4 linked regions of the Tamandua tetradactyla genome follow. The protein of the gene in region 4 interacts with the protein of the main gene of each other region in a pairwise test. Links are inferred from orthologs where the notes say so. Each region holds a gene or a part of one and is shown on either strand. Other genes may lie near its edges. The genes, in order: CCHCR1, MRPL53, TFIP11 and SSX2IP.

What was found.
Region 1: the proteins of SSX2IP (region 4) and CCHCR1 interact in binary tests that used the Homo sapiens proteins (3 or more experiments, as listed by UniProt). The link is inferred for Tamandua tetradactyla from reciprocal best matches to the Homo sapiens genes SSX2IP and CCHCR1.
Region 2: the proteins of SSX2IP (region 4) and MRPL53 interact in binary tests that used the Homo sapiens proteins (3 or more experiments, as listed by UniProt). The two-hybrid records come from large-scale screens. The link is inferred for Tamandua tetradactyla from reciprocal best matches to the Homo sapiens genes SSX2IP and MRPL53.
Region 3: the proteins of SSX2IP (region 4) and TFIP11 interact in binary tests that used the Homo sapiens proteins (3 or more experiments, as listed by UniProt). The two-hybrid records come from large-scale screens. The link is inferred for Tamandua tetradactyla from reciprocal best matches to the Homo sapiens genes SSX2IP and TFIP11.

The regions. Positions count from the first base shown.
Region 1 is NC_135331.1:86,079,112-86,086,748, reverse strand, and holds the start of CCHCR1 (coiled-coil alpha-helical rod protein 1), read left to right. Parts: upstream 1-4,630; 5' UTR 4,631-5,185; coding exon 5,186-5,404; intron 5,405-5,697; coding exon 5,698-5,764; intron 5,765-5,842; coding exon 5,843-6,056; intron 6,057-7,637. Other genes in the region: TCF19 (transcription factor 19), read right to left, coding at 869-1,109, 1,585-2,155, 3,080-3,317. UniProt on the Homo sapiens protein: May be a regulator of keratinocyte proliferation or differentiation.
Region 2 is NC_135343.1:48,371,102-48,377,582, forward strand, and holds MRPL53 (large ribosomal subunit protein mL53), read right to left. Parts: upstream 2,105-6,481; 5' UTR 2,072-2,104; coding exon 1,977-2,071; intron 1,868-1,976; coding exon 1,755-1,867; intron 1,647-1,754; coding exon 1,510-1,646; 3' UTR 501-1,509; downstream 1-500. Other genes in the region: CCDC142 (coiled-coil domain-containing protein 142), read right to left, coding at 3,114-3,370, 3,517-3,716, 3,840-4,017, 4,222-4,336.
Region 3 is NC_135331.1:36,079,161-36,087,126, reverse strand, and holds the start of TFIP11 (tuftelin-interacting protein 11), read left to right. Parts: upstream 1-4,966; 5' UTR 4,967-5,054; intron 5,055-6,559; 5' UTR 6,560-6,568; coding exon 6,569-6,777; intron 6,778-7,966. UniProt on the Homo sapiens protein: Involved in pre-mRNA splicing, specifically in spliceosome disassembly during late-stage splicing events. Intron turnover seems to proceed through reactions in two lariat-intron associated complexes termed Intron Large (IL) and Intron Small (IS).
Region 4 is NC_135337.1:40,381,322-40,388,966, reverse strand, and holds the start of SSX2IP (afadin- and alpha-actinin-binding protein), read right to left. Parts: upstream 3,011-7,645; 5' UTR 2,861-3,010; intron 2,767-2,860; exon of another isoform or gene 2,637-2,766; intron 2,049-2,636; exon of another isoform or gene 2,026-2,048; intron 1,524-2,025; exon of another isoform or gene 1,166-1,523; intron 1-1,165. UniProt on the Homo sapiens protein: Belongs to an adhesion system, which plays a role in the organization of homotypic, interneuronal and heterotypic cell-cell adherens junctions (AJs).

The sequences.
Region 1 (7,637 bases), on a different chromosome or scaffold from region 4:
AGTTTTGATAATATTTTGGCTGGTATGAGGTTCATTGGTTAAAGTTGATACTCACTGGACCAAGGCATCATCTGCTCTAGCTTGCCTGGTGGTACTGGTAAATGCTGTAAAAGTTTCCACCACCTTTGTGAAACCTGAGAAGATCCTAACTACCTTACTATAATGGTAGAAACCTTAATTAGCTCTATTCCTTTTTCCTGTTTCCCTCTTTCAGCTCATTCTTAGATCGCCACTTCCTAAATCTGTTTTCAGGCCTTTACCCAGAGTACATATTCCCAAGCATTGGGAATCCAGGAGTATGAGACTCCAAGAATAAATACCCAGGGGTGAAAGAAGAAGCCGCTTGTTCTTTATTTGGAAACTGAAGCAGAAAGTCTAAAGTTTTCAAAAAACATGTCATGGTCAAGATCGGGTAGGATCAGCCACAGTGTAAGGAAGCTTGGGGGCCGGGGCCCAGGTTTTCTCAGCATCTGTGTGGATTTTCAATTTCAAGGAATTGTCCAGATCTTATGACAGTCTTTTCAGGCATGGCCACTGTAATTGATCGATGCTCTGTGCCCAGACGTTCTGGTGTCCCTGCTAACAAGCCTCTACATTCTGTAGCAATGGGAATTTCCAGTTCACTGGCAACAACTTCCTGGAGGCAAAGTCTGACAGGCAACCAGCTCTCTTCTGTCACCTTGGCCATGAGGACCTGTTGCAGGCCCTGAGTCAGGATCCATGGCAAGGGACCCTTCTTCCCTGGAGTCACTCCCTCCTGGGGAGGGAAGGGAAGAAGGGGCATTTTTAAGGACTCGTTCCCACCCCACTGTCCACCCCTGGCCTGGAGTTCCCAGCTCTGCGTCCTCTGGTGCTGTGGTGATGGGCCTTAGGTCTGTGTGCCAGCACGGCACCCCGGGCACCGGAAGTCTGCCTCCCTGGCAGCCTGGATGCTGCAGCCCACACAGGCCACATGGAACCACACATCACAACCATCACACTGAACCCAGGCCACTGTCTCTTCTTGGGGCAGGCTGCAGCGGGGGGCTGCACAGGGCTCCCCGCCCCCAACTGCAGGGGGAGCCATGGGGACAGTCACTGGGTGCTTCCGAGGACGCCCACGACGATTTCTGAAGGAAGTTGAAGGGGAAGACACAAAAACCAGGGTCACTGGAAACCTGGGAGCCTAGGATTTGCCCCTGGTGAACCCAGGGTGACCCGGAAACTTGGAAAGCCTGTAGGGTGGACCCAGATAAGCTCTGTAATGTAAACTTGGAAACTGTCCCCTGAACATGTAGGGTGGGGCTAGAAATCAGTCCCTGAAAACCTTACAGAGTGAGCCCAGAAATCCCCCATCCTCAGGCACTCAAAAATAGGGTTAAAGCTGTATGAAAGTAAAAGGTGGGACCCTAATGCCTGCCCACTTGCCCAATCTAGTTTTATAGCCATTCCCCCATCCCACCTACCTCAATTGCTCCTATGGATTTTTTTTCCCCCCCGTTAATAGAGTTGACCCAGGTTTTGCTGTTCTATTCCACCAGTCTACCTCTCCCACGCCTCAGCCTGGGACTCAAAAAGGCAGGAGAGACAGGACTCTTCACTCACCCATTGGGTGTCAGTGGTGCCTTCTCTCCGCGTAGTTTCTTCCTGGGCTCTATGTAGACTGGTGGGGGGCTCTCAGGGGCCCCCCTTTCATCATCCAATTCTGCCAGCACTCGGTGGGCTGATTTCCTCCGGTTTCTGGGGGCTGGGGGTGGGGCAGAAGGGGAGCCCCCCACTTCCCCGCAGAGAGTGGGAGGGGGCAAGCTCTGTGGCTCCCTCCCACCCCCACTCCGGGAGAAGGTGAGGGGCTGGTGCTGGAGCTTGCTGAGGCTGCCGATGGAGTTGAGGATCAGCGTGGCCTTTGGGGCAGGGGAGAGGGTACTGATGGGCCGCTGCGGAGCCCCCTGGGAGGGCAGCATGGGCCGGAAACCACCCCCAGTCCCCACTTCTCCCCTAGATCGTGGGATGGTGATGGCAGCAAAGTCCTGAGGTTTCACTCGGACTTGTTGGAACATGAAGTAGAACTCGGAGGGACTGTTTCCTGGGGGTCCTTCAGGGCCAAAGGTCAGGAGGTCACCATCACTCAACTCCAGCCTGTGACCCTTTGGGAGTCGGACATTGTTGACCAAGGTTCCTGTTGGTGGGGACCAGGCAGATGAAGAGAATGGCAAAACAAAACCCGGAAAAAAAAATCCAGAATCAGGAGTGGGAAAACATCTGTTAGATTTTTTGGGGTCTAGTAAGAACATGGAACCCTGTCATTCTTTCCTCCCTCACATTCTAAACCCCTCAGCGAATGACACCAGATAATAAGCTCCTTGTAAGCTGGGAACAAATTCATTTTTCTTGGGGCACATGGAGGGAATGGACTCTGCTGAGTCCTAATCTCAGACAGGGGCTCACTCTCACCCAACTCAACTAAAGGACAGCACAGGTCAGCAGCAGATGGTGTTCAAGCCCCAGCTCTACCACTTGTCAGCGTCGACAAGTTTCTTAACCTCTTTGTGCCTCATTTTTCTCGTCTGTAAAATAGGAATGGTCATCAGTGCCCACCTACATTCAATGCATGTAAACAGTGGGTACGAAAAATATTGGCTACTGTAATTATGTAATCCCCACAACAGCCCCAACATCTAAGAGGTGACACGACAGGCCAGAAACCAGTGACAAGCCCTTCTGAGACTGAGACTGTAACTGAGTTAGGGAAAAATACACAGGCCCAAAGCATTAAAATAGAATTCAATGAAAAGCAGGAAGGAACGAGGTGCCTCAGCAAAGCTGGAAATGGGATCAAGACTGAGTTTGGCTCTCAATGGCCCCAGAACATCCCCACTGTGACACTTCTCTACTGATGTCCTAGGCCCTGGATCTACTTCCCAGCCCCCTGTAGGGGCTAAACAGGACCCTCTGGAGGGGACTCTTGACACTGCACACTTCTGATGGGAATATGTAGGTCTGGACCCTAAATGCCCAATGGGAGGGTGGCAAGGGGATCCTTAATCCTCTTAGCTTGGACCTGGGGGGGGGGGGGGCTCAGGAGCAAGGACGTCCTGCTCACCATGGCTGCTGTGGTCCTCCAGGCTGACCCTCCAGTCATCGCCCCGGCGCTCAGCATGCAGCTCTGCGTGGACCCCAGAGATGAGGCCGGGTTCCTCCTGGGGCCGCAGGGCCACATCACACAGGTCTGCCCGGCAGCCCAAGCGATAGGTGCAGCCAGCCCCCGTGGGTGGGTGGAAGGTGTAGAGATCACCACCTCGGCCGCCCCCTATGCGCAGCAGCTGGAAGCAGGGCAGCATGGGCGGTGCCCCTCCACACCACAGCTTCCACTTCAGGAATTCATCACCCTTCCCACTCCTGGGCCAGGCACGGTGGTTCAAGTTCACTTCTCAATCTGATGCGAACTTAAATTGTACTTTGTGCAGTTTCAACTTCAAGCACACTCCCTGAGTAGTGCAAAATCAGTGTAAGCAGCCGACGTATGCAATGCAAAATTTGCTGTCTAGCAACTGTGCAACTGAAAAATTCGGGTGGGGTTCCTGGTACAACGCAAAACCAGGAACACGCCTTATGGCACCGCAGATGAGCCGATTCTCAGGCCGCAAAATATTCGGGGAGCCTCTGATCTGTGCAAGACAATGATACAATAGACAACTTCTGAGGAAATGCAAACTGGGGGTCCTGCTTCTGAACAATACCAGCGTATCACAGTGTAACTTGGAGAAAGAAGCGTCTTCCTGTCAAACCTGTTTATCCAAAAGGAGTACCCCTCCCGCTCGCCTGCGCCTCCCTTTTCTGGCCAATTCCTCACTTGTAACTAGTTAATTTGGAACCCCGCGGTAAGTGAATCTACTGTCACCTTGAAAAGGTAGTGCAAACCGGTTCCTAAATTAACTAACAAAACGGATCTAAAAGCTCACCTTTACGGCTTCTCCGCGGGATAAAAACTGCAGGAGCTCCCAGAGATCATACAATTCAAACCCGACCTTTTCTCTCCTGGCCCGCTCAGTATAATCTCAGAGCGGTTTGTCCTCCATGAGCTACCAGCCGGTGCAGCGGTCTCTGGCGCTCCGGCAGCTGTTTGACAGCGAGGAGGCACTGGCCGGTGGGGCGGGGCCTCCGAGCGCGGGCAGCGCGCGACCCCGCCCTCGGAGTTCCCGGGTGAACGCCGCGCCGAGGGGCCACGCCCCTCTGGCCGCTCATGATTGGCCAGCCCATTCGGCGTTGCTCCACTCCATTGGGCGGCACACAGGGAGGCCCGAGCTCCCGCTTTCCGCGTTTTCTGATTAGTTCACTAAGTTTCCCGGGTTCCCGGAGTTGGGAGGAGCCGTCAGGGCGCGGAGGTGCTAGAACACCTTTATTGGCCCCAGTTTTAGACGCTACTACGCTTGCGTGCTCCTTTTCTCCGCCCCCTTCCGGGGTGAACTAGTCTTCTGAGCCTCCCGCCAACCCGCCCGCTCTGCGCAGGCGCAGTAAGAGGAGGCGGCCTTGGCCCGGGAACCTAGAGAGGTGGCGGTGGCCTGAGGGGTGGGGTGGGGTGGGGTGGGGAAGTGGCGCGTGCGCAGGGTAAGGAGCGTTTGGGCGTAGTCGGTTGGGGGTGGGAAGGGTCGGTTGTGGGCGGGAAGGGGCTGGCTGGGGTGTGGGGGTGGGTACAAGGGGTCCATCGGGAAGAAGGTTCAGGGGCCTGGTAAAGGAACAGATAGGGTGGTCAGAACAGCCTTAGATCTCGGAATCCAGCCGGCTGTAGGCGCGGGGATAACTGGGGTATCGGAGAAGAGCGGGGGTGAGAATCGAGAGTGTAGGGAGACGAGAGCAGGCATCTTTGAGCCGGTAGATGAGGGTGAGAGTGACGGACAAGGATAATTTCTTCAGGAAAAAAACAGATTAGGACTAGGGAGGGAGTGGGGTATGAATCTCAGGCTCTAGAAAAAAATAGATCAATTCGGGTGGGATGGTGGAGGTGAGATCTTGAAGAGCCCACTCTTACCCTGAGACTCCGAAGAGGGGAGAGTGGGCAATAGGAATGGAAACTGAGGGGATAATAGAGAGAAACTGAAAGGAGAATTGCAGAAAGGGATTCAGTGAAATGGCAGACAGCTGGCCTTTCTGTCAAGGGGTCTAGGGCTGTGTGGATTCCCAGGGATCCTGGGGAGGCATCTAGCCCTACATGTGGTGGCACTCGTCTGCAGCCAGGCCTTGGGCCAGTGCTTTCATAGGGAAGGACCCAGGAGTCATGGCTTGGTGGTGTCTGGATGGGCTTCCTCAAGGCCTGGCTGAGCCATGGAGAGAACTCTGGAGGTTGGGCTCACAGCGCCTGCACTCCGTGCGCCCTCTCTCACCTCAGACCTGCAGGACCAGCAGGGACTCTAGAAACTTAAGGAGGAGGGTAAAGACTGCCCAAAATACTAGGAATATGAGTAGAACCTAAGAGCTTTCCTCAGCTTGTGTCAGTAAATCCCCCCCCCCCCCACCTCATGTTATTGCCAGGGTTCTGTCAGGAATCAGGGTGGGACAAAGAGGTGATCTTGGGGGTTTCTCCTTTTGGAAACTAGGAGAAGAGAAGCTGAATGTCGGGTGGACCAGTTATTATTTAGGAAGGATAACTTTATCATAGGGGCTTTCTCTTTGGAAGGGGTGTGAAAACTGAATTGGAATGTCCTTGTTTTTCCTGTTGTTCAGGGGATCATGGATGGCTGGAGACAGAATCTAGAGCCTTCAGAAAGTGCAGAGATGTTTCGAACTTCAGGTCAGTGGGACCAGACTAGGGGACTGGTGATGACCTCTCCTTGGGAAACTGACCACCTGTGCCCTTGTGATTCCTCAGGTTCCACTAGGCTAATTCCTCCATCCCACTTCCAAGCTCGGCCCCTTCATTCTGTGCCAAGAATGGCTTCTACCTGGGTCTCGGACATTCCCCTGGTGCAATCCCTGGCCCAACAAGAGGTCTCAGAGAGGCGGCTAGACAACCAGAGACTGCAGGCGGACATGTGGGAACGATCTGCTTCTGGCGATGGGCAGGAGCCAGCACGGAGAGACAGGTAGGCATCTGGCATCACCATTTCCTTAGCTTGCTCACCGAAGACTCTGTTTTACCAGAATAGATTCCTTACCCTGTGTCAGCAGTTGGTTCCATAATTTTTTTCTTCCTTTTTCTATCACTTGAGTTTTTTTTTTCTTTTAAAAATGTATACAATAGGGTGCACAGGTGGTTAGGTGGTAGAATGCTTGCCTTCCATGAGGGAGAGCCGAGTTTGATTCCTGGACCATGCACCCCCCCCCCCCAAATATATATATATATACAACATAACATTTCCCATTTTAATCACTTTCACATACACAATTCAGTGGTATAAAGTTTTGCTAATGGATGGTGGTGATGGTAAGATACCATCGTGAATGTAATCAATATAATTTATTCACTTTTACATAACCAGTTCTTCGGTGCCTACAAACTATAAATAGTAAGGAAGTTGCTGGAGACTAGGGATGAGATAACAAAGATGAATGGGCGAGATCCTGATATTAAGGAGTTTAAAATCTTAGGTCAGTTCACCCCAAAATCATGAGCAACAAAACAAACAAATGGGTAAATTGGGCTTCATCAAAATTAAAAATTGTTGTGCATCATAGAACATTATCAAGAAAGTGAAGACAACCTACTGATTGGGAGAAAATATTGGGAAGTCATGTATCTGATAATGGTTTAAGATCCAGAATATAAAAAGAAATCCTGCAACTCAACAACAAAAAGACAACCCAAATGAAAAATGGACTTTAATAGACATTTCTCTTAAAAGGCACATGAAAAGATGCTCATCATTAGCCATTAAGGAAATTAAAATCAAAACCACAATGAGATACCACTTCACACCCATTAGAATAGCTTATTAAAAATAAAAAATAGCAAGTGTTGTCAATGATGTGGAGAAACAGGAACCTTTGTACTTTGTTGATGGAAATGTAAAATGGTTCAGCTACTGTAGAAAACAGTTTGGTGGTGCATCAAAAAGTTAACTAAAAATTATCATAAGGCTTGGCAGTCCCACTGCTTGGTATGTACTCAAAAGGAAAAAACATGGACTCAGGTAGGTATTTGTACACCAGTGGTCATAGCAGCAGCATCCAGATAGCCAAATACGGTAGGCAGTAGCAACCCTAATGTTCAGCTGATGAACATTTCTTAAGAAGAGATGTTAAGAAATGTTAAGACTCTATAAAGGTTTCGTGCACTGAGTTTGCTTTCCTGGAACCTATGATTCCCAGAGGGTTCCTAGGTCTGAGAAATCTTGAAACCCAGAGTGACCAACCACTCCACAATTATCAATTAATTATATCCCCCTGTCCTTTAGTGTCTGCACCACTTCTCAACATGAAAAAAGTCAGAATGGGCTTTGCCCAGGGATCCTTATGGATTGGGAGAGGGATCATGGAAGAAAGAGGAGGTATAACAGAGTAAATAGGATTTAACAGAGAAGTATGACTGCTGAATCACTATATTAATATTCCATCTAGCCTCCAGTGTTTGGGAGCAGCTAGAAGGAAAAATCTGAGGTGATGGAGTAGCAACCCATGACAAAGTCTGGGATCTATTCTGTAACTACTGGCTGAAGTGTACTTTG
Region 2 (6,481 bases), on a different chromosome or scaffold from region 4:
AAATGAGGAAACAGGCACTGAGAGATTAAGTTATTTGTTCAAAGTCACACAGTTCCTTAGGGCATTTCAGCCCCAGGGAGTCTGCCTCTTTACTACAAACACTGCCTCCCTGTATTTTTTTTTTTTTAAGTGGGGGGGTGGAGAGAAGAGTCCTTTGAAGATAGCATGCTTTTAGGCAGGGAAGCCATATGGTAATGTTGTGGGAAAATGTATTTGGCAAAGTACACAGCAGCAATGTCTGGAGGTCCTTGATTATCTCGTTGAGCCTTCTGAATTTCTTTTCTAAACCACTGACTTTCATCCATGTTTTCCTACAACTCACAGTAAGAAATAATTTTATATTGCAACCCATACTTGCAGATACACACACACATATATAACATATATTACATAATAAATATAAATAAGAAATATATATTTTATATATATACACACACACACACGGTTATAAGCTTAATACCAAATATCCTAAAGGAATATTTCCAAAACTATATGCCATGCACTCTGATACTTTTTATTCTATTTCACGTTTTTAAGGTTGCTTTAATATCTTAAGTCCATTTCATGATCCACACTAATGGGTGGTAACCCAGTATGAAAAACACTATTTTCATCACTGTTTTCTCAAACAGGTAGAAATGGGAGATGTACTTTGGAAAGACACAATTAAGCAGCAGCAAAAATGATTAAGAGAGCAGGTGGGGAAATGCAACAATGATACAGGATAGTGAATGTAATGGAGAAAAATATCTCAGGAGCTTTATTTAAAACAGAGTATTTTGTACTTACTAGGATATGCAGAGAAAGGGAGAGAGGGGAACCCAAGATAATGCTATGGTTTCAAACCTAGCTGAAGTGCTTGAAAAGGAAAGATAAGTCTGGAGAGAAACAAAAATATGTGTATGTACCAGTATCAACTCTATTTTAGACAAAGAGTGTTGGTGAGGTTTGGGGGAGATTGATAGCAGGTAAACTAAACTATGAACTGTAACACAGAAGTTGGTATTAGAGCCAGAGAGATTAAGCTGGGATAGGACAGTTTAAATTATAAGAGAGAATGAGAGGGCCCAAAGTTATGAGAGAGAGTAGAAGAATATAGAGAAGAAAAAGAAGAATGAGGGCGGTACACTTTAATGTTAGAAAAAAAAGGACTTAAAGTGAAAAAGCTTCCATAGGGGGTGAATTAAAAGTGGCAACTGAGATGTAAAGATGTGGACTCATAAAACAGCACCGAATTTGACTAAAATGAGTAAGAGGTACCTTTGGCGAGTGATAGGAGAAGCCAAATTTAAAGGGTTAAGCAGTGTGGGATGGTAAGAAAGTGAAATAAATTCATGGTCATCCAGACCCCTCTCCGATCTTATCTCGCCCCCAAACACTGGTTGCAGGACTGCTTTTCTTTTTGTGTTCGTGCTGGGTAAGTCCTCCAGATAGGAGTGATTATGTCAAACTCTTCTTAAGTAAATGTCCTACTCCCAAGCTAAAATCTTGTCGGTCTCGTTTGCGCCGTCAGCTCCTGCCGGTACCAACGCCGGGCTTGTCCCCGCTCCCCGCTGCACCCCTGGCCTGGACATGGGAGGTGAAGGCAGTGAGCATTTCCTGGGCGGTGAGATGGGCGCCGCGCATAATCAGGCGGTGCCCGTCTCCTGGGGAAGAAACAAATGAGTTAAGCACAGGGAAGACTATCCGGCTGGTGAGAAAAGCGCGCGAGCTGACTACCGCCTCCCCGCCCGACTCCCCACCGCCGAGCCCACCAAACAGTACGTCCACGCAGGGTTCGGAGCCATCGTGCCTCACGTCCACAATCACCGAGCAGTTGAGGTTGGTGGAGCGGACCTTCTCGCTGCTCACCACCTGGAGGAAGGTCCTGCGGCGGGAGAACGCCGGCGGCAGTAGCGCCGGACCCTGGGGCTCAGACCTCCCGCGAGAGGAAGGTGCTCCCTTTCCTGCCCCCAGCCCTCCCCTTCCCCTCCTACCTCGTCGACTCCACGTTTTTCTCGAAGGGGCAGAACTGAATCCGAACCTGCTTAACAGACCGGAGACCTAGCCGAACCAATGCCGCCACCGCCATGATGACCTCTGTCCCGGAAGGCCTCGGGAGGAAGTGACGTTGCAACCAGCTGCGGACGCCGGGTCTTCGGCGGCGCTAGTTGCTGTTAGAGGTAGCGGTCTTCCGCCACCGTCCACGCCCTGACTCGCTGTCCGGGTTCCTCAACCCGAAAGAAGGAAGTATGGATGGGGAGGGGAGGGGATTGACTGTTTCCGTACAAGCGGGAAGCGCCTAACTTGGTTTGCGAAAATCACACAGCGAGGAACCCAGAGTAAGCGAGGAGTTTCTATTTCTTGACATAGCCCTTTGTACCGCGGTGAGGACAATAAATATTGCAAAACCCCTGTGCACCTGGCTCCGAAATATGTTCGACTTCTGCAGATTTCTCCCTTCCATATCCTGTAGTGCCAGATCTAGGTTTGCACCATCTTAAATCCTGGCCCCTTCCAAAAAGAGGGCACTGATAAAACGCCTACGGGAGGTAAAGCCCATGCAGGTAAATGAAGGTTATACATGTTGAACTCTGGGTAACCACAGCTTAAATCTGAAGGTCCGACAGCCTAATATTTTTAAATGACTGAAAGTAACTGGCAGCCCACGGTAACAGCTTTGGCACTTACACAAGTGCAGAATTGCCTGTACTACGTCTGTGGTTTCTGTTCAGTTAACTTTGGTTTTAGCCTGGCTCCCAGAGTCTAAGAAGAAGTGGCATCTAGGCTTTCTGCTTTCTACTGCTGTTCCCTTTCCCTGTCTCCTGGGCCCAAGTCTCTAGCCCTCCTACAGCTTCTGACCCCGGGAAGTCTTTACTAATGTGGAACCAGGCCTGAGCTCAACAATGCTGACCTCCAGGTTCCCGAGTGTGGTTTTGCACTTTTCTCTGGATTCCTGGTGCTGGAGTCATCTTTCATTCTTAAATTGTAAGTCCAAGCATTGTTTAGCTTGTGGTTCTCAGGTGTACTTTCTTCTAAGTTCCCAATTCTAGGATCCCTAATACGTAATTTTTGTCTGCACGTCACCAGCCAGTGATGAGAATCTGACACCCTGGCTCCTGGTTCCAGGCTCCTTAGTGTTCAGGACTTGTACAGAAGCAGGAAAGGAAAGGCAAGTGCCAACGTGGGTGTTGGTGCTGCCTCAGGGCAAGCCAGGCCTGCTCATTTCCTACCAGGTAAGCCTCAGGGCTAGGTCCTCCTCCCCACAGTGTACTTAACAGCTGAGCTGACTGGGCTGGGGGTGCTCCAGGCCGAAGAGGGGGTTCCAAGCTCTCCAGGCTGTTGAGGCTGTTGCTGGGCAATTCTGTGGTTTGCACCTCATTACAAGAACCTGGTAAGAAGGGAGCAGACGACAGGTGGCTGGGGGGAGAGGGTGAAGCCAGACCCCAGTGTTTAGGAAAGGGGCGGGGTAGGGGTACATAAAAAAGTGAGTGAGCAGTGAAGAGAGCCTGCAGTTGGAAAAGGGAAGTGACTCACAGCAATAAGGGAGCCTCCTGTGGACTCGAGTCTTGGGTAGGGGTTGCTGTAATAAACACAGCAAGGCCCCATCCAGCTGCTGGAAGATGCTGAGCATGAGCAGAGTCTGTCGAAGGTCAGGGGACAGGCCCCACTGCTCCTCTTCCAGCAATTCCTTGACTACTGCAAAGTCCTGTCTGAGCTGCAGTGCCCCCTGCAGGCTGAAGGCCAAAGTACAATGAAGCCACTTGACCCTCCTGCCTCTCCTACCTGCCCTGCTCCACCTATCTCATCCCTTCTCCCAATTCCATTTATCCCCCTGCTGCAGCCTCCTTTTCTCCCACCTGAACCGGATCCTATGGGTGAGGATGTGGTCGAGCCAGGCACCCAGGACAGCTGTCAGTGCCTTTTCGAGGGTGGAAGCCTGGGCTTGAGGTGGCAATCCCTGCAATCCTTGTAACACAGGCTCCAGTACGGTGCGGACCACCACCCCAGCATACTGACTGGGAACGCTGGGCAGTTCTAGAATGAGAGAAGAGAAAAGGCAGGATACGAGGCTAGGGAGAGCCACTCTAAACAGAATGGGGGTAGAGGGTAGGATTTTGGAGGGAGGCAAAGAAGGTGAGGATAAGAATAGAGACAGAGAAGTGGAGCCAGGATTTGGAGGGAGTGGGACACCATTACCCCCTTGAACCCCTGGAAGGAGATGCTGGCATGAGGAGTTACCAGGACAAAGATGAAGCCGCCAGTATCGACCACGTGGCATGTAGCGCTTGAAGCCCTGCGTGGCTTGTTTATGACATTCTTGAAAAAAGAGTCTTAGTGACTCTTCAGGCAGGAGCTATGGAGACAAGGAGGAAATAAAAGGGTCTTATCTATTAGGGGCTTGTCAAGTTATGATGCTTTTCTAAATTTGAGGTGGTTAACCTGGGGTCCGTAAAACCCTAGAGTTGTATGCATAACTGTGTGCACCTGGGCATTTTCTGAGGCAAGGTCCTATAGCTTTCATTGGGTTTTCTAAGAGGTCTGGACCCAGAAAATACTATCAACAGCTGTCCTAGGATTACTCTGCTCCAGGCAGCGTGTATCAGAGGTAGGAAAATCCTTGAGATTAATTTGTAACAGAGGAACCTGAATAGGAAAAAAGTGAGATTCCCCACCACCACCCCCAGAATGTTCTAAAGTACATGCCAGAGAGGTCTGCATGACCTGGAGGTGGACAGAGACTGAGGGAAGAAGGAGTAGTTGTAATGATCTTCCAAAGGGAGGGAGGAACTGCATGTAGGCCAGGAACAATGGACAATGGCTATTTTAACTTTCTGAGATTCAGGAACCTTTGGAATGTACTCACACTGAACATTCTTGACACCCACTTCCATTTTTCTAGAGCAACATAATTCATAAAGCAAGAAAAGAAAAGGCTCATGGGCCAGTTTTGTTTGTTTCTTTGTTTTCTTTGGTTGGTTTTGGTTTGGTTTTTGGATGGGGAAAGGACAGCAACAAAGGGGGTCTTCATTCCACAGCCCAACTTGGAGAAGAACCCCAAGAAATGGGATATGTGGTGGTTGCTTTGTAAAGAGAAGGCTGACTGGATGCCAGAGAGCCTGACGAGAGGAAGGGTTTGGGGGACCCAGACATGGTAAGGGGGAGCCCACGTGGTTCCTGGTACATCTCCTGAAAACAATCTGTCTAGAGTTAAACTACTCTTTGTCACTTCTCCCACAAACACTTCAATGGAGATCCACTGAGCCTTTAAATACAGTGTTTGGGGGAAGAGGTTAGAATTTCAGAGGGGGGACACAGAAGATGGCCTTCTCCTTCCTTATTTACGTCATGGAAATTACCTCTTTTTCAATCAACATGTGTTAGGAATCTCCACACTCAACATTCTGGGGTAGTTCTGGTACAGAGTACGAGATGTTCTCTTCCTCTGGGACCTCACAGTCCAGCAGTGGAGAGAACTCATAATGCTTGATTCTTCCTTGTCACCCATTGCTGCATGCCACAGACAGCCCTGAGCAGGCATTCACTGGTGCAGTCACCAGGCAGAGGAGGAAGGCACAGAGAGAGCTTCATAGTGTTTTTGTTGACATGGTAAGCACGCTGTGGGCCTGTCACTTTGGCTTTGTTCTCCCCACAACCAGTAAGTGCTAGATCCTTATCATATCTGGTCTCTTCACCTCCTGTCCACCCTGCTCACTCCAGCCAGATCAAACTCTGTCACAACCTGCACTGTTCCTCTCCTGCTCTTATAGGAGCTCACCATCACTCATGAGATAAAGCCCAAATTCTTTGAGCTAGTGTTCGGTGCCTTCCACAATTTGAAGCCTACCTCTGTACTCCCACGTACAGAGGGAGCCTCTGCTCTGGTCAGGCCATCTCTTCACTCTCCCCCAAAGCTCTAGGAACTGCCTGCCTTGGTACCTCAGCTCTCCGAAGCTGCCCAGCCACAGGTCCTGTGTGGGGCCTTTTAATTTAATTTTATTTTTTTAAACATAACAACATACAAACATGAACATTCTTATCATATAAGCATACCATTCTTGGTATATTATCAATAACGCACAATATCACATAGCTGTGTATTCATCACCATGATTATTTCTTAGAATATCTGCATCAATTCAGAAAAAGAAATAAAAAGAAAAAAGAAAAAACTCATACATACCATACCCTTTACCCCTCTCTCTCGCTAGTATTTCCATCTGCCCAATATATTTTAGCCTCTGTTTCCCCTATTTTTTTTTTACAAAAAAGAAAATGTTTTATAAAGATACTAGCATCTTAATATTTTACAGAGTATAAAACAACATTCAAGTAACATTAAAGTATAAAGACATTTAAAGTATAAAATTCCCAATTATTTCAGGACAAAGCCCCCATGTGAAGTCAGACATGCTCTTGGGAAGCATTCAGAGCCTGTGGTGGGTGGTGACTGGCCCTCTTTTTGATTTTCAAGGAGACCCGGCTCAGCAAGGTGGAACCC
Region 3 (7,966 bases), on a different chromosome or scaffold from region 4:
CTGCGGCCGCTCGGGGGTCTCGCCGCAGCCAAGTCTCGCAGTCAGACTTGCCAGCCCAGACTTTGGATAGCCCTCTGATGCGAGACTCGTAGTCGCGGACTCGAAGCTGAGACTCGAAGCCGCCCGCAAAAGTGTGGCGCCGGCCGCCTTGGCTGGGAAGCTTGTCTCTCCGCGTCCCTCAGCCAGCCCGGGAAGGAGGGAGGGATTAGCTCGGACCGCCGCAGCTGCGGCTGCTCGGGAAATCGCCCGCCGCTCGGGGATCTCACTCACCGCAGCCGATTTTCGCAGTCAGACTAACCAGCCCAGACTGGGTTACGCTGTGTGTCCATTCCCTGCTGTAGCCCCGGGAGCTGTTCTGTACTGTTTCTGTTCACCTATTAGTTGATTTGGAGTCGGAGGAACTAAGACGCATGTACCTTACTAAGACGCCATCTTGGATCCTGTCTTTCCACTTTCTTGATGAAGTTCTTTGATGCACAAAAGTGTTTAATTTTGAGGAGCTCCCATTTATTTATTTCCTTCTTCAGTGCTCTTGCTTTAGGTTTAAGGTCCATAAAACTGCCTCCAATTGTAAGTTTCATAAGATATCTCCCTACATTCTCCTCTAACTGTTTTATGGTCTTAGACCTAATGTTTAGATCTTTGATCCATTTTCAGTTAACTTTTGTATAGGGTGTGAGATATGGGTCTTCTTTCATTCTTTTGCATATGGATATCCAGTTCTCTAGGCCTACTGTTTATTGAAGAGACTGTTCTGTCCCAGGTGAGTTGGCTTGACTGCCTTATCAAAGATCAAAAGTCCAAAGATGAGAGGGTCTATATCTGAGCACTCTATTCGATTCCATTGGTTGATATATCTATCTTTATGCCAATACCATGCTGTTTTGACCACTGTGGCTTCATAATATGCCTTAAAGTCAGGCAGCGTGAGACCTCCAGCTTCGTTTTTTTTCCTCAAGATGTTTTTAGCAATTCAGGGCACCCTGCCCTTCCAGATAAATTTGCTTATTGGTTTTTCTATTTCTGAAAAATAAGTTGTTGGGATTTTGATTGGTATTGCATTGAATCTGTAAATCAACTTAGGTAGGATTGACATCTTAACTATATTTAGTCTTCCAATCCATGAACACGGTATGCCCTTCCATCTATTTAGGTCTTCTGTGATTTCTTTTAACAGTTTTTTGTAGTTTTCTTTATATAGGTTTTTTGTCTCTTTAGTTAAATTTATTCCTAGGTATTTTATTCTTTTAGTTGCAATTGTAAATGGGATTCGTTTCTTGATTTCCCCCTCAGCTTGTTCATTACTAGTGTATAGCCCATTTTATTTTATCATGGGAAAAAAAAAAAAACCCTTTACAGCAGCCTGGACATTATCCCTGTTTTACAGATGGGAAAATAGAGGTGTAGTGGGGTGAAGCAACCTGCCCCAGGCACCCCATGTAGGAAGCCACAAAATGGAGATTTGGATTCATTAAGTTTTACCCCAGAGCCTTTTTTTTTTTTTCCAAAAAAATTACAAAAAAGTTGTAAATATAGTGGAGAAACATCTTTCCCCGAATCATTGGAGATTAAGTTGCCAATGTTTTGCTCTATCACCCTCCAATACCTTAGTATTTCCAACAAACAAGGGCGTTCTCTGATATACCCACAGAACAATCATCATAATCAGGAAATTAACATTGCCTCATCATTGCCACAGAATATTCATCCCTCATTCACATTTGTCACATCTCAATAATATCCTTTATAGCAAAAAGATCCAATTCAGAATCATGCATTGTATTTAGTTGTCTATAAAGTTTTCTTCGGTCTAAAACAACTCCACAGCCTTTCTTTAAAGTTCACGATCTTGGCACTTTTGAAGATTACAGGCCAGTTTTGCAGAATTTCCAATCTGAGCTTGTATTCTAGATCCTTGTCATTACATTCAGATTTTGCGACTTGGCAGGAAAATCACAAAAGTAATGCCGTGATCTTCTCAGGGCATTCTACCAAATAATATATGATTTCAAGTTTTCCATTACTGCTGACGCACTCCACTCAGTTGACCAGAGCCTGCACTCTTAACAACCCTACAAGAGTCCACAAAAGTGCAATCCTCAGAAGTTACATGGTGGGGTCTCCTTGGTGAAGCAAACCCACTAAAGTTAGGTCCCCATGATCAAAAGTGACTGCAACTCCACAATTGTCTGCCATCAAGCCACAGAAATAGCTACAGAGAAGTTAAAACTTACTTATATTTTTATGTTCAGACCTAGACTCTTAATGGGTCTTGTCTTCTTGTTTGGACCCTGCTCTTTCCGGTGGACCTTTTAGTCCGCTAGTCTCATTCCTTTGAAAAAGTCACTCTTAGTTTCCTCCCTGAGTTTGTACTATGTGTCAGGCATAGCGACACAGTGCCACTGGGGATACAGAACATTAAAGTCAGTCCCCACCCCTAAGAAGTCTGTGTTTAAATGGCTTTATATAGGTTCGCATTTTATTCATAACAACAATGTAAGGGTAGACCTGTGGTTGGAATTTGCCTGGTTGCTAGGTTAAACCACAAAATGGGTTGGTTAAACAACAGGATTTCATTGTCTCAGTTTTGGAGGCTAGAAGTCTAACATCACAGTGTCAGCAAGGCCGTGCCTTCTCCAGAGCCTGTAGTGTTTTGGTGATGGCTTTTCAGGGATCTTCTGTCACATGTCGACTTGTATTCTGTCTCTGGTTTCTACTTTTTTATAGAATTTCTTTTGCTTATAAGGATTTCAGTTATCTTGGATTAAGGCCTACTCTCATTCCGATTAGCCACATCTTCAAAGGTCCTATTTATAAATCGGTTCACACTAACAGGATTGGGGTTAGGACTTGAAATGTCTTTTGTGGGGGACATGATTCAATCTACCACAGAACTCAAGTCTTTTGACTACGTCCTGTGCTTTTTGTACAGTCCAATAATTTCCTTTTGGATCTTTTCATTACACGGAGAAGAGAGAACATAATAAACATTGACAGCTAACATTTCCTAAGACTGGACTATGTGCCAGGTAGAGTCTTAATGGCAAACTGTTTTAGTTTGCTAAGGCTGCTGGAATGCAGTACACCAGAAATAGATGGCTTTTATAAAAGGGATTTATTTAGTTACAAATTTACAGTTCCTTGCAGGAAAGGCAGCTAGCTTTTAGCTTTCACCAGGGTTTCTCTGTTACACAGTGTTCTAGTTTCCAAGCTGCCAGAATGTGATATACCAGAAATGGACCCGATTTTATCAAGGGGAATTTACTAAGTTACAAGTTTACAATTCTCAGGAAGTGAAGGTGTCCAAATTAAGGCACCAACAAGAGGTTACCTTCACTCAAGAAAGGCTAGTGGGTCTGGAACACCTCTATCAGCTGGGAAGTCATATGGATGATTTGCTGGTCCCTTGCTCCTGGGCTCTGCTGTTCTCAGCCCCTGTTCCTGTGGGGATTCCTCACTTTGCTTCTCCAGGGCTGGCTTTTATCTCATGGCGATGGGGAGAGAACCTTGGCTCTCTCCAGGTTCTGGCTTGCTTAACCTCTCATGGCGATGGCTGCTGGGCTCCAAGTATCTCCAAACATCCATATCTATGTTTTCCATGTGTCTCTGTGTCAGCTCTGCTGTGAGGTTTCCGTCAGTTCTGAGGCTTCTGTTGTTTCTGACTCTCTCCAAAATGTTTCCTCTTTTAAAGGATTCCAGTAAACTAATCAGGACCCACCTGGAGTGGGTGGAGTCATAGCTCCATCTAATCCAAGGTCACATCCACAATTGGGCGTGTCACATCTCCATGGAGATAATCTAATCAAAAGATTCCAACCTATAGCATTAAATCAAGATTAAAAGAAACGGCTGCCCTCACAAGACTGAATCAGGGTTTAAGGTGGCTTTTCTGGGGTACATACTATTTTCAAAGGAGCACACATGAGAGGGCACATGGCTACATCCTTTGGGCTTTTCTCCCCGCTTCTGGGTTCAAACTGCTTTCCCCAGAGTTCTGGGTTCAAACCGCTTTCTCTTTTCTGCATCTCCAAATGTCTGGATCTGAGCCCTGAGTGCTAAGCTGAGCTGTTGAGCTGTTCTCTTGCATCTAACTTCTCCTTTTAAGCCTCATTTATTGCGGAAGGCACTCCCTTTAGCCCATCACAGATGTAATCAGCTATTTATAAAGTTCACATGTTGATGACTTAAGTGCCCAGCCACAGAACAAGTGGGCACCGTTATCTGGGTAAGCTGACACCTGAACCTAACTACTACACTGACACTGTTTGATTTCATTGAATCCTCAACCATTTTGCGGAGAAAAATGAAGTTTAGAGAAATGCCCAAACTCTACAGCTGGTAACTCGCAGGCCTGAGATCAGAACTTCAGAGCCTGTGTGCTCCTAATGGCAACAGAGAGTCTCAGAGGAGCCAGGGATTCCAGGCAGGTGCCAGATTCGTTCTTGAGCCTCGCACAAGGTTGGTAGTCAGTACATTTTTAATTAGATGAGTAAATGAATGAATTCATCAACCTGTATGAAATCAAGGATGGAAAAATTTCCAGAAAAAATACTTGGGAACTCCTAAGAGTTTGCCCATTCATTCCCCCAAACCCCTTTTATAAGGCAGCTTCTCTGCGCCCGTGACGATGCTTACACCGAGAGACCCAAATATACAGGAGACGCAAACACGGCTTTCATTATCCCCATATGAATGTCCGTCGCGTCCCCTCCAGATTTACAGTCTGAGGCTGGTCTCTGGCCAAAGTCGTTCTGGGACGTCCCGACGGGTCAACCCAGGCCAGATAACGCATTACAAAACCGGAAAGGCACTCCCTGGCCACTCGGGGCGCTACAACCTCCATGTACCTTCTAGCATCTTAACGCCGCTGTTCGAAAAAGAAAGCCGCTCTAGCGTTGTGTTGTTGCTACCGCACACCGCGCCACTTTGTCGATGTCAAGGGACGTCATTTCCGGTGCGCGGCTCTATTCACGTCCGGGTTCTGGAGAGCGGAAGTGGCGTGTTTAGGGCGCCGAGTGGGAAGCTGCGTGTGGTCCTGGGAACCCATCCGAGAGGTGAGGGCGCTAGGGGTCTCGTAGCAGCGGGAGTGGGGATGCAGTCTCGGAGACGGCTGGCTTCAGCCTCGGCCTCGCCTGTGTCGGATTCCCCTTCGCAAACCGCGCTGCCGGAGCCCGGGGAGGGGCGGGGCCGCTCGGGGTCACCAGGGAGTGGGGGCCAGCACCCAGTCAGGAAGGCGTGTGTCTTTCGTGATGCCTGGACAGCGGGGTTGAGAAAGGCCCGAGCCTTAGGTTTTTCCTACAGGCGAGGAGTTTTTCCTTGGAGCTTCATTTTTCCATCTGAAGCATGGAAACGTTATAGTTCCTGCCCGTAAAAGTGTTTCGATACCTAGATTGGAAAACCGTCTCGCAGCACCCAGCAAGTACTTAGCACCTACAATGGCCCTATAACTCGTAACTACTCTGAGATTGTAACCATGTCATTTGCCCAGGGTGCCAGCGGTATAATTTACTCCGATGTAGCTGGGACTCCCCACCTTTGAAAATATTTGCCGCCTGTACACGCTTTACCCAGAGCGGTGAGCAGACGAAGCAGGAGTTTTCTCACAGCTGAGTAGAATTTGACACTCTAGTGCCTACCTGTACGTGAAGGCTGCGTGCAGTAACTGGTAGACCAGAATCACAATTACTGTCACTTGTTGAGTGTGTGACATTGTAGTGGCACCATCAAATTCACGAATACTCACAAACTGAGTACCTGTGTTGGGATTTGAACCTAGGCCGTGACTCATAATCATTTTGATGGATTGACTCAGTAGCAATGGTGAACCTAATCATGGCACTATAGTAGCAGCTGTTGTTCTTTAGCACTTACTGTGAGTTAAGTGCTTTTAAAGCACCATGTCACTGAATCTGCCTTACAAGCTTTCTCAAAGGTTGATACAGCATTTAGTCCTAATTTAAGAGCTAGCAAAATCTTATCACCTGGCTACCAAGAGGTGAATTCTCTATTCTGGTTCACACAGTTATTGTAGTGTTCATAGTTAACTGTTGTCTTCTACTTCAGGAGAAGAGGCCATGTTTTGAGAGGAAAACTTAGAGTTTCCGCTCTAAGGATCTTTTGAGTGTCTTCAGGAAATTTATTTTAAAAAGCATATTCCAAAAAAACCATTCTGCCTGGGAGTGGGCCAGGCATCCAGATATAACCTTTTTCCTCAAAAATAGAAAACATAATAATAAAATTTGGGGTCCAGGAAGTCATTTACCCAGTTTCTGAGGCAATAATATACAGAATAACACACTTAGTTATTTTTGTATGATTTGTGTATGTCTGTGCATATGATGTTTTATGGCATTGACTAGGACAGAAATACATACTTTTTAAGAATCACATAGATGGATCTGTTTTAAATGTCTGCTTAATTGAATAGTAACAATAATCTTAACAGACTTTGGGTCTGGAAAAAGTTCTGAAGGCACCAAGAAACAGGGACTCACAAGGAAGCTTTCTGCTGCTGCTCCCAGCACTTTTCACAGACTGCACTTTTTGTCCATTCTTGTAGTGGCTGGCCATGTCGCTGTCCCATTTGTACCGGGATGGGGAAGGCCACATAGATGACGACGAGGATGAGCGGGAGAACTTTGAGATCACCGACTGGGATCTCCAGAATGAGTTCAACCCCAACCGACCCCGCCACTGGCAGACTAAGGAAGAGGCCACCTACGGGATTTGGGCAGAACGTGACTCAGATGAGGAGAGGCCCAGCTTTGGAGGCAAACGGTACTGGCTTACATGGGACTGACTTCACCTTGCTTTAGAGAAAGGGGACAGGATGGAGGAAGTAGGGAAGTATACATCTCTCCTGGCCTTACAGATCCATTAGCTATGACATCAGCTATGGAAGTGTAATTTCCTCTTCAGGAAAGGTGCTATTCTTTCACAGATGTGATCATTCAGTCATTGTTTATCCAGAGCAGTTACTGTGTGTCAGGGCTTGGGCTGTAGAAGGAGTTTCTGCCTGGAGCTTGGCGCCTAGTGAACAGAGACAGGCATTGATTAATGCCACACAAAGAAATGGAAGTTTGTACTGTGATTCAGGTTGTCAAGAAAAGCACATTTTGGGGGTGTTTGACCTATTCTGGGGGATCAGGGAAGGTTCCTCTGGAGAAGAGATCCTTGAGTGGATATGAAAATAAAAAGTTAGGGTGGAAGGAGAGGCAAGGGTATATAAAGGCCCCTGATGGAAAGAACAGCTTATCCACAGGAAAAGAAGAAAGGTTGAGGGGCCTGGAGTAGAGGGATGGAGGAAGAACATAGTTTGAGGAGCTCAGGAAGTCAGGTCACCTGGGACCTGGAGGCTGCAGTTGAGGGGATGTGATGTAGGGCTGATTGTGCTTTGAGAAGACCCTTTTGTTAGTGTGCAGGGTGGGCCTGGAGCTGCAGGGGAAGAGGAAGCTCTGTGAGAAGGCTGCGGCTAGGATGGGGACAGCGAGATGGAGGATTCACATGGCAGGTCCTTTCCCCAGTGGAGGCCCAGGTGTGAGCTGGTGCAGTTCACTTGACCAGAATGTGGAGCAGATTTGAGTTTGTCTTGCCCTTGCTCACATCTGTAGCCTGTGGGCTCCATTCCACAGAGGCTATATCTTTTTCACAAAGGGGATTGGGAAAGAGTGTCAGGATCAGTATTAACTGTAGTTCATACTTTGCAAATAGGTGCATTTTCCCCATATACCTCTTTATTATTAACTCCTTGCAATAGTCTCATATATTTGCTCTAGTTCATGAAACAGCTTTTTTATATTTGTACTGTTTATCACATTGTCCACAACATTTTAACCTCCATGTTATGCAGACCTATGTTTTAACCTCTAGCTTTCCTTCTGGTGATGTACATGACTCTAAATTTCCCCTTTCTGCCACATTCACACACAAGTCAGTACTGTTCATTATATTCACAATAATGTGCTAA
Region 4 (7,645 bases):
TCTTAAAAGTAGAAGGTATATAATTGAGGTTTTCACATGAATAATTTCTGCTTTTCTCAAGTTTCTGGAGGTTTCCATAACGTATTTTTCAGGTCTATAATTGCGTACAGGCTGTAGTTATTATATTACAGGGTCATCTGTGCACAGAACGCTTTTGGATCACTCCAATTACTGATTTTGATGGGCATACACTTCTAAAGTAAAAATCAAATATACTCTGAATAAAACCTTTCAAAGGTTCACCATCACCTACAGGTCAAAATTTAAAGCCCTGGTTCAACCAGCATTATCACTAACCTACCCCACCCTGCTCCAACTCTACAAAACCACCTATAATTCAATAATTGTATACACTGCAGAATGCACCAGCTGCCTCCATCAAAACACAGCTGAAATTCTCTCTTTTCTATAACCTCCCATAATGCAATTATTACTTTTTTTTTTCTCTCAATGCACTGCAAATTTCCTAGAAACAAATTCCTCAAGACAATATTCATTTCTTTATCTTCAGGTCTAGCAAATATCAGCTTAGTGTTTGATAATTGCTTATTGAAAGAAGAAATTATTAAAGCATAATTCTGTAAAGCTGTTATATAAAATAACAATATTGACACTGTCAAAAGTCATGATTTTAGGCTGTTCTCCATTACCAGTAATGAATGGGGCACTTCTCTATCTCATCCTACAAGCTCATGAAAATTCAAGATAATGCCTTCATTACTACCTAATCATAATCACAGAAAACACAAAACAGACCAAGATCGTATCAAAATCTCTGTGTCATAAACAAATGGCCAGACCAATAAAACTAAAAACAGGCATATTCACATCTATTGTAAAAGATATGGAAAAACAGCACTTAAAAAAGCCTTGGGGGTGGGCCACGGTGGCTCAGCAGGCAGAGTTCTTGCCTGCCATGCTGGAGACCCGGGTTCGATTCCTGGTGCCTGCCCATGCAAAAAACCAAAAAAAAACTTGGTATTGCTCCAATTCTGGCAGGTAAACTGAATTAAAATCATTCTATTCTGGGACAGTGTCTTTTTCTTTTATCATTCTTTTTACTCCTAAGTACATACCACATAAAGGCACCCAAAGTCTTCTTTTATGAAACCTGTATCAAAACTTGGCCAAAGAGCAGACTGTGTCAGGTTTCAGAAAACCTCACCTTCATAATTCTGACTTTGCGTTGGCCTCACAGCCTTTGGTAAATCATCTGAACAATTAACATTTTAGTTTTCTCATATACTGCTTGAGCATGTTGGGAATATAATGTGCTTTAACAAGTCTTGTCACAAGGCTCAATGTGCTATGAGGAGATCTTCACATTTCATCCTAGAATAACTAAGTCTTCGCACCTATCTTCAAGCTGTTTCAGCCATGTCACTTAATCCCAGGGCTTTATTATCTTCATTGCACAGATGGAAAGAGAGAAGGAAAGAAAGAGTATAAGACGACTTGGCTGAAGATGTCAGGCCAGTCACCAAAAGAGGCTTCACTTTAACTAGCAGTTCCTAATCCTCTTTTCAAAGAACTATTTCACTGACAGCAGAACACATGTCAAATTATTTCTTACCCTTTTTTACTAGTTTTGTTTGAATGAGTAACCAAAGATTCCTAGGCCTGTAGGAGATTTGGTGGATTAAGTTTTGCTGGCTCAATCCAAATTCATAAATCTCAAATTCTAAATTCCAAGATAGTATGACCTATGCTAAGTTTAAAGGCCTTTTTCTCTAATTCTTCGCAAATTTTATTCAGTCTCCTAAATGTGTCAAGTCATGCCTCCCTTTCCAGTTCACGTTCTAATTATAAGGCTTTTTCTTCCATTTCAACAGTAAGACAATCCCCCTGCACCATGAAGGGTTCCAAGGCATCCATTCACAGACCTAGACTCCAATCTGAATCGTTTGAGGGGCACAGTAACTTAAAGCCTTGGAAACCCGCAACCTCACACGCGTGACCCACCCTCTGAGGGGTACCACTCCTAATTCTTAACTGAATATGGAGTACAGAAAAGGGAAAACCTACTTCTCTCAGATCAAAGAACTACATCAACCTTGCTAGTGAGGACACCTTGGCATTCACAACTACGTAAAATGAGATCATCTAAGGATTCCCATTATTACGTGTGCAGAGAGAAAACATGACTTAATGGATTCTGATTCCTGGGCCCAAGAAAGAGACTTGCATAACTGGGTGAGCAGCATAGGTTTAAAAGGGTGCAGGGTGCTCACAGTTCAGTCCACTGTACGATAAAATTCTACATCAAAATGTTCTCACACATGCCTGCATCACTGATGATGTGCTTTCTCCTAGACTTTTAACGAGACCACTAGGAAGGTTTTCTCATCCTGCAGCGGACACGGGCCTCCCAAGGTCTCATTTTAACGACAGCCTCTGGTGGTTTAGACTCACAAACTCCTGAACCCCGAACCCCGCAGTCCCTACAAACTCGGCGAAGGACACACTGCAGCTCCAAATCTGCCATCCCCTCCTCCCACACGTCTCCGCGTTGCTCGTCATTCCACGCCAAACACCCGGAGACTGTTTGGGGCGCCTCCCGCAGACCCCGGACCGAGCCCTCCGGAGAACGTAAGGCGGCGTCCACCAGCGGGAGCGGCCCCCGCGCTGGAACCTACCTCCCACCTCCAGCGCTCTCCCGCACCGTCCAACCGCCCCAACGGTCGCGCAGAGCCTCTCGCAGAGCCGCGGGGCGTCGAGCCAGGTGCAGGCGCTCACCTCCTCGCCCGCCCGCCCCGCGCCGGTGCCGGCCCCCCGCCCGCACCCAGCCCCGTCTGCGCCGCTCTCCCCTCCGCGGACGGGCGGGCGCGTCACAATCCCCGCTGGGAGCGAGGCTGCTCACCGTCACAGCCCCCGGGAGCGGCGAGGAGTCACCGCTCTGCGTCCAAGACAGCCTCCTGCACCCCCGGGGGCCCTTACAGCCGCGGCAGGACGCAGCGCCTCGCGCGCCGACGGCCCCTCCTCCGTCCCGGGCTCCCGCTGGCTCCGCCCCGCGCGGGGCTCTGCTCCGCCTCCCGGCCCCTGCAGGTTCGCTAGGTTCCCACCCCGCCCCCGCGCCGCCGCGTCGCCGCCGGCCGGGCCGCCTCCCATTGGCTGCGCCAGTTGCTAGGCGATGAACAACCGCGGCCTGCATTGGTCCGGTGGGGCCTCCGGAGTCTCCTCCCCACCTCCAAAAAAACTAGGAGAAAAAGAAAACCTTATCCCTAAGAGCCGGAGCGGGATGCGGGAGCAGCTGTGGCTGCGGCTGCGGCACCTGTTACGCCCTGTGATTCACCCTGCCCGGCTCTGCTCCCCACCCCCTCCTCACGCCCGCGGACCTCCGGGCCGGGGGCTCTGAGGGGGAAGTGGTTATGGCTGCGTAAAACATGTTTTCGGAGCCCAAATGAACCCCAGCACCCATCCAAGGATCAAAAAGTGCATGCTCCCCAAATTGCCACGTGCGTTCGCAAAAGAGGAGAAATAAACCAAACAACGGCCGGTACCTAGAATTAGGTCAGGCCCAAGGGAAGGGAGGATCAAGCGTCGGAAATCATGGATGCAAACAAACCCAAACCCAAAAGTACGTGTACAATAAGGGCAAAGAAACGGACCTAGCAGAAGACAGCGGGATAAGGGAAGACTATAAGAAATGGTATTCGTAAACTAGAAGTTTATGCAAAGATATTCAACACCCACTCAACAAAATATGTGCAGAGAAAATGTACGCTTGCTTCAGTGGTGCCAGGGTTAGAGCCGCCCCTCCCCTGTTCAGTGTAAGCATGTAAAGGAAGAGGCCAGAGAAAGGAAAGAAATGGATGAAGAAATCACAAACATATGAGTTGAGTTAAAAAACACAAAGATGTAATTGAGTGGATTTTTGTCATTTATATTTTTTAGTGAAGCTAAAAGATTTATTAAGGAAGAAAAATGGGAGATTTGGCATTTTAAGGAGGCATCTAAGAGCGTTGTATGAGACAAGAACAAGAAATATTAATACTGAACAACTGGGGAAGAACAGTTCCCCTCCCAGTATCCCTAATCCTGGATGAAGGATTAAAGTGAGAAAATGAGCAATACATGGGGACTATATTAGTTTTCAAGAGCTGATTTAAATGACCACAAACAGTGTGGTTGTAAACAACAGGAATTTATTCCCTTGCAGTTCTGAAGGCCAGGAGTCCAAAATCAAGGTGTCATAGATTCCTTCTGGATGCTCTGAAAGAAAATCCATTCCATGCCTTATACCTTCTGGAGGTGCCAACAATACTTGGTTCCTTGGTTCACAGACTGTGTTAGATTGCCAGCTGCCAGAATGCAATATACCAAATTGGAATGGCTTTTAATAGGGGGCACTTAAAAGGTCCCAAGTTTACAATTCTAAGGAGGGGAAAAGTGTCCAAATGAAGGTACCCACAAGAGCTTACTTTCATTCAAGGAAGGCGGATGGATCAGGAACACCTCTTTCATCTGGGTAGTCACGTGTCTGGCATTTGCTGGCCCCTTTCTCCTGGGATCCATTGCTTTCAGCCTCTGCTCCTATGAAGGTTCCTCACTTTACTTCTCCAGTACTGGCTTTCATCTCTTGGCTTCCCTTGGCTGTCACCAAGTTCTGGTTTGCTTAACATTTCATGGCAACATCTGCTGGCCTCCAAGCATCTCCAAACATCAGTATCTCTGCTCGCCACATGTCCACATCTGTGTCAGCTTTGCTGTGAAGTTTCTCTTGGCTCTGAAACTTCTGTCATTTCTCTCGTTTCTGTCTTTTCTGTAGGCTCTGCCTGCTCTGAGCTCTCTCCAAAATGTTTTCCTCTATTAAAGGATTCCATTAAGCTAATCAAGACCCACCCCAAATGGGTGAAGTCACATCTCCAGCTAATCAGAATTAATACCCCCTCCAATCAGGTGTGTCACATCTCCCTAGAGACAATCTAATCAAAAGACTCCAACCTACAAAACTGAATAGGGATTAAAAGAAACAGTTGCTCCCACAAGACTGGATCAGGATTAAATCATGGCTTTTCTGGGGTGCGTAATAGATCAAACAAACCAGCACACAGACCATCACTCCCAACCTCTGCCAACTCTTTGCATGGCTTTCCATTGTGTGTGTCTTCTTCCTCTCTCTTCTAAAAACACTTGCCATTGGACTTAGTGCTATTCCAGGATGATCTTATCTGGAGATCTTTAACTGGATTGCAAAGACCCTTTTTCCAAATAAGGTTATATTCACAGGTTCTGGGGGTTCGTATATTTGGGGACCAACATTTAATCACTACAAAGACCCAGAGAAATCCTCATATTTGACCTAAGCCATCTGATGGCCAGGCTAGATGCTACAGAGCATAATTGAAAGATAGCCAAATAGTCCCTCAGGCCCATCACTGTAAGGATACCTTTAGCCCAGGACTTCTGGGGAGGCGAAACTAATTATTACCTTGCTCCCTAATCTAGAGCAATGGTGGGGTGGGGGTAGAGGAATCCCCCGCACCCAAGATGGGTTTTGAAATTTAAATTGTCCACTCCGCAAAATCCACACCCCTGTCCACCTCGAGAAGCAACTTAATGTGAAAGCTTCTCTTTGAAATAGAACTTAAGGCTTCATTTTGACCATTCCCTTCCTCACAGTTCAGTCAAAAGGTGAGGTTTCACTCTCTGATTAACTAGAAGAGTTGAGATAATTCAGTAAGCAGCATCCAGCATTTCCTCTTAGTGTCCTACTGACTAACAGAGTCAGATTTTACAAAATTTCAGGGCAGGCTGACACGAGCTCGGTGAGACCGGTCCTCTCTCCAGACCCAGGGATGGATCAGGTCTGAATAAACCAGTGGTTCTCCAACTGTTGATCTCAGGACCCCTGTACACTCTTAAAATTATTGAAGGTTTAAAGAGCTTTTCTTTATTGTGGGTTATAGCTATTGATATTTATATTAGATTTTAAAACTGAGAAATTAACAAATATTTATTTAAAAAAAATACATAATGACCTTAACATAAATATTACATTTCATTGAAAAATAACTATATTTTCCAATAAGTTAGTAAAAGGAGTGGTATAGTTTGAAAGTTTGCAAATACCTTTTAATATCTGGTTAATATAAGGCATCTGGTTTGTCATATCTACCTCAGCATTCAATCTCTTGCAGTCTTTGAGGTAGCTTCAGAAAACCCCACTGTATACTTGTAAGAGAATGAGAATTTTAAAAGTAAATAAGATCTTAGAATTATAATAAAATTACCTTTTCCTTAATCGTCCCCGCTATCAATTACTAAAGCTTTTCTAGTACCCCAAACAGCAACTCTGTACCAATTTAGCATTAACTCTCAATTCCCTACCCCCACCCCTGCCCCTGATAAATTGGATTCCAGTTTCTGATTCTATTAATTTGTTTATTCTATTTCCTACAGTGAGATCATAAAGTATTTGTCTTTTTGTATCTGATTTACTTCACTCAACATGATGTCTTCAGAGTTCATCCATATTGTTACATGTATCAGACTTCGTTTCTTTTTATGGCTGAAGAATATTTCATTGTATGTATATACCATATTTGATTTACCCCTTCATCTGTTGTTGGACATCTGGGTTGCTTCCACCTTTTAGCAGCTGTGAATAATGCTGCTATGAACATTGGTGTGCAAATAATCTGTTTGCGTCCCTGCTTTCATTTCCTTTTGGTATATATCTAGCATGGGGTTGCTGTGTCATATGGTAAATTCTATACTTAACTTTCTGAAGAACTGCCAAACTGTTTTCCACAGTGGCTGCACCATTTTAGATTCTCACAGCAATAAGCTAGTGGTCTTATTTCTCCACATCCCCTCCAGCACTTATTTTCTTTATTTTTTTTTAAACACTAGCCATTCTAGTGGGCATGAAATGGTATTTCATTGTGGTTTTGTTTTGCATTTCCGTAATGGCTAATGATACTGAGCATCTTTTCATGTGCATTTTGGCTACTTGTATATCTTCTTTGGAGAAATGTCTATTAAAGCATTTTGCCATTTTTTAAATTTAGTTGTTTGTCTTTTTATTGTTGAGTTCTTTTTCTTTTTATATTCTGGATATTAAACCCTTATTGGATATATGGTTTCCAAATATTTTCTCCCATTCTGTAGCTTGTCTCTTTACTCTCATGGTGAAGTCCTTTAATGCACAAAAGTTTTTCATTTTGATGAAGTCCCAATTATATTTTTCCTTTGTTGCCTGTGCTTTTGGTGGAAAGTCTAAGAAGTCATTCCCTAACACAAGATCCTGAAGATGCTTCTCTATGTTATCTTCTAGGAGATTTATAGATCAGGTTCTTATAGTTAGGTCTTCGATCATCTTGAGTTAATTTTTGTATATAGTGTGAGATAAGGGTCCACATTTATTTTCTTGCATAAGGATATCCAGTTTTCCCAGTACCATTTTTTGAAGAGACCATTCTTTCCTAATTGAGTGGACTTGACAACATGTCAAAAATCAGTTGGCCAAAGATATATAAAAATAATTTTGGCTTAACAGACACTCGTATTTTGAGAGCCATTGGTCTAAACCAAACTTGCTATTCTGTCTCCGGTACTTTGTCAGTGACATGTTTAGGGGCTAAGCTTGTGACCTAGTTTTGGCCAGTATATAATGGCAAATGGGAGGTAAGTATGGAGGAGC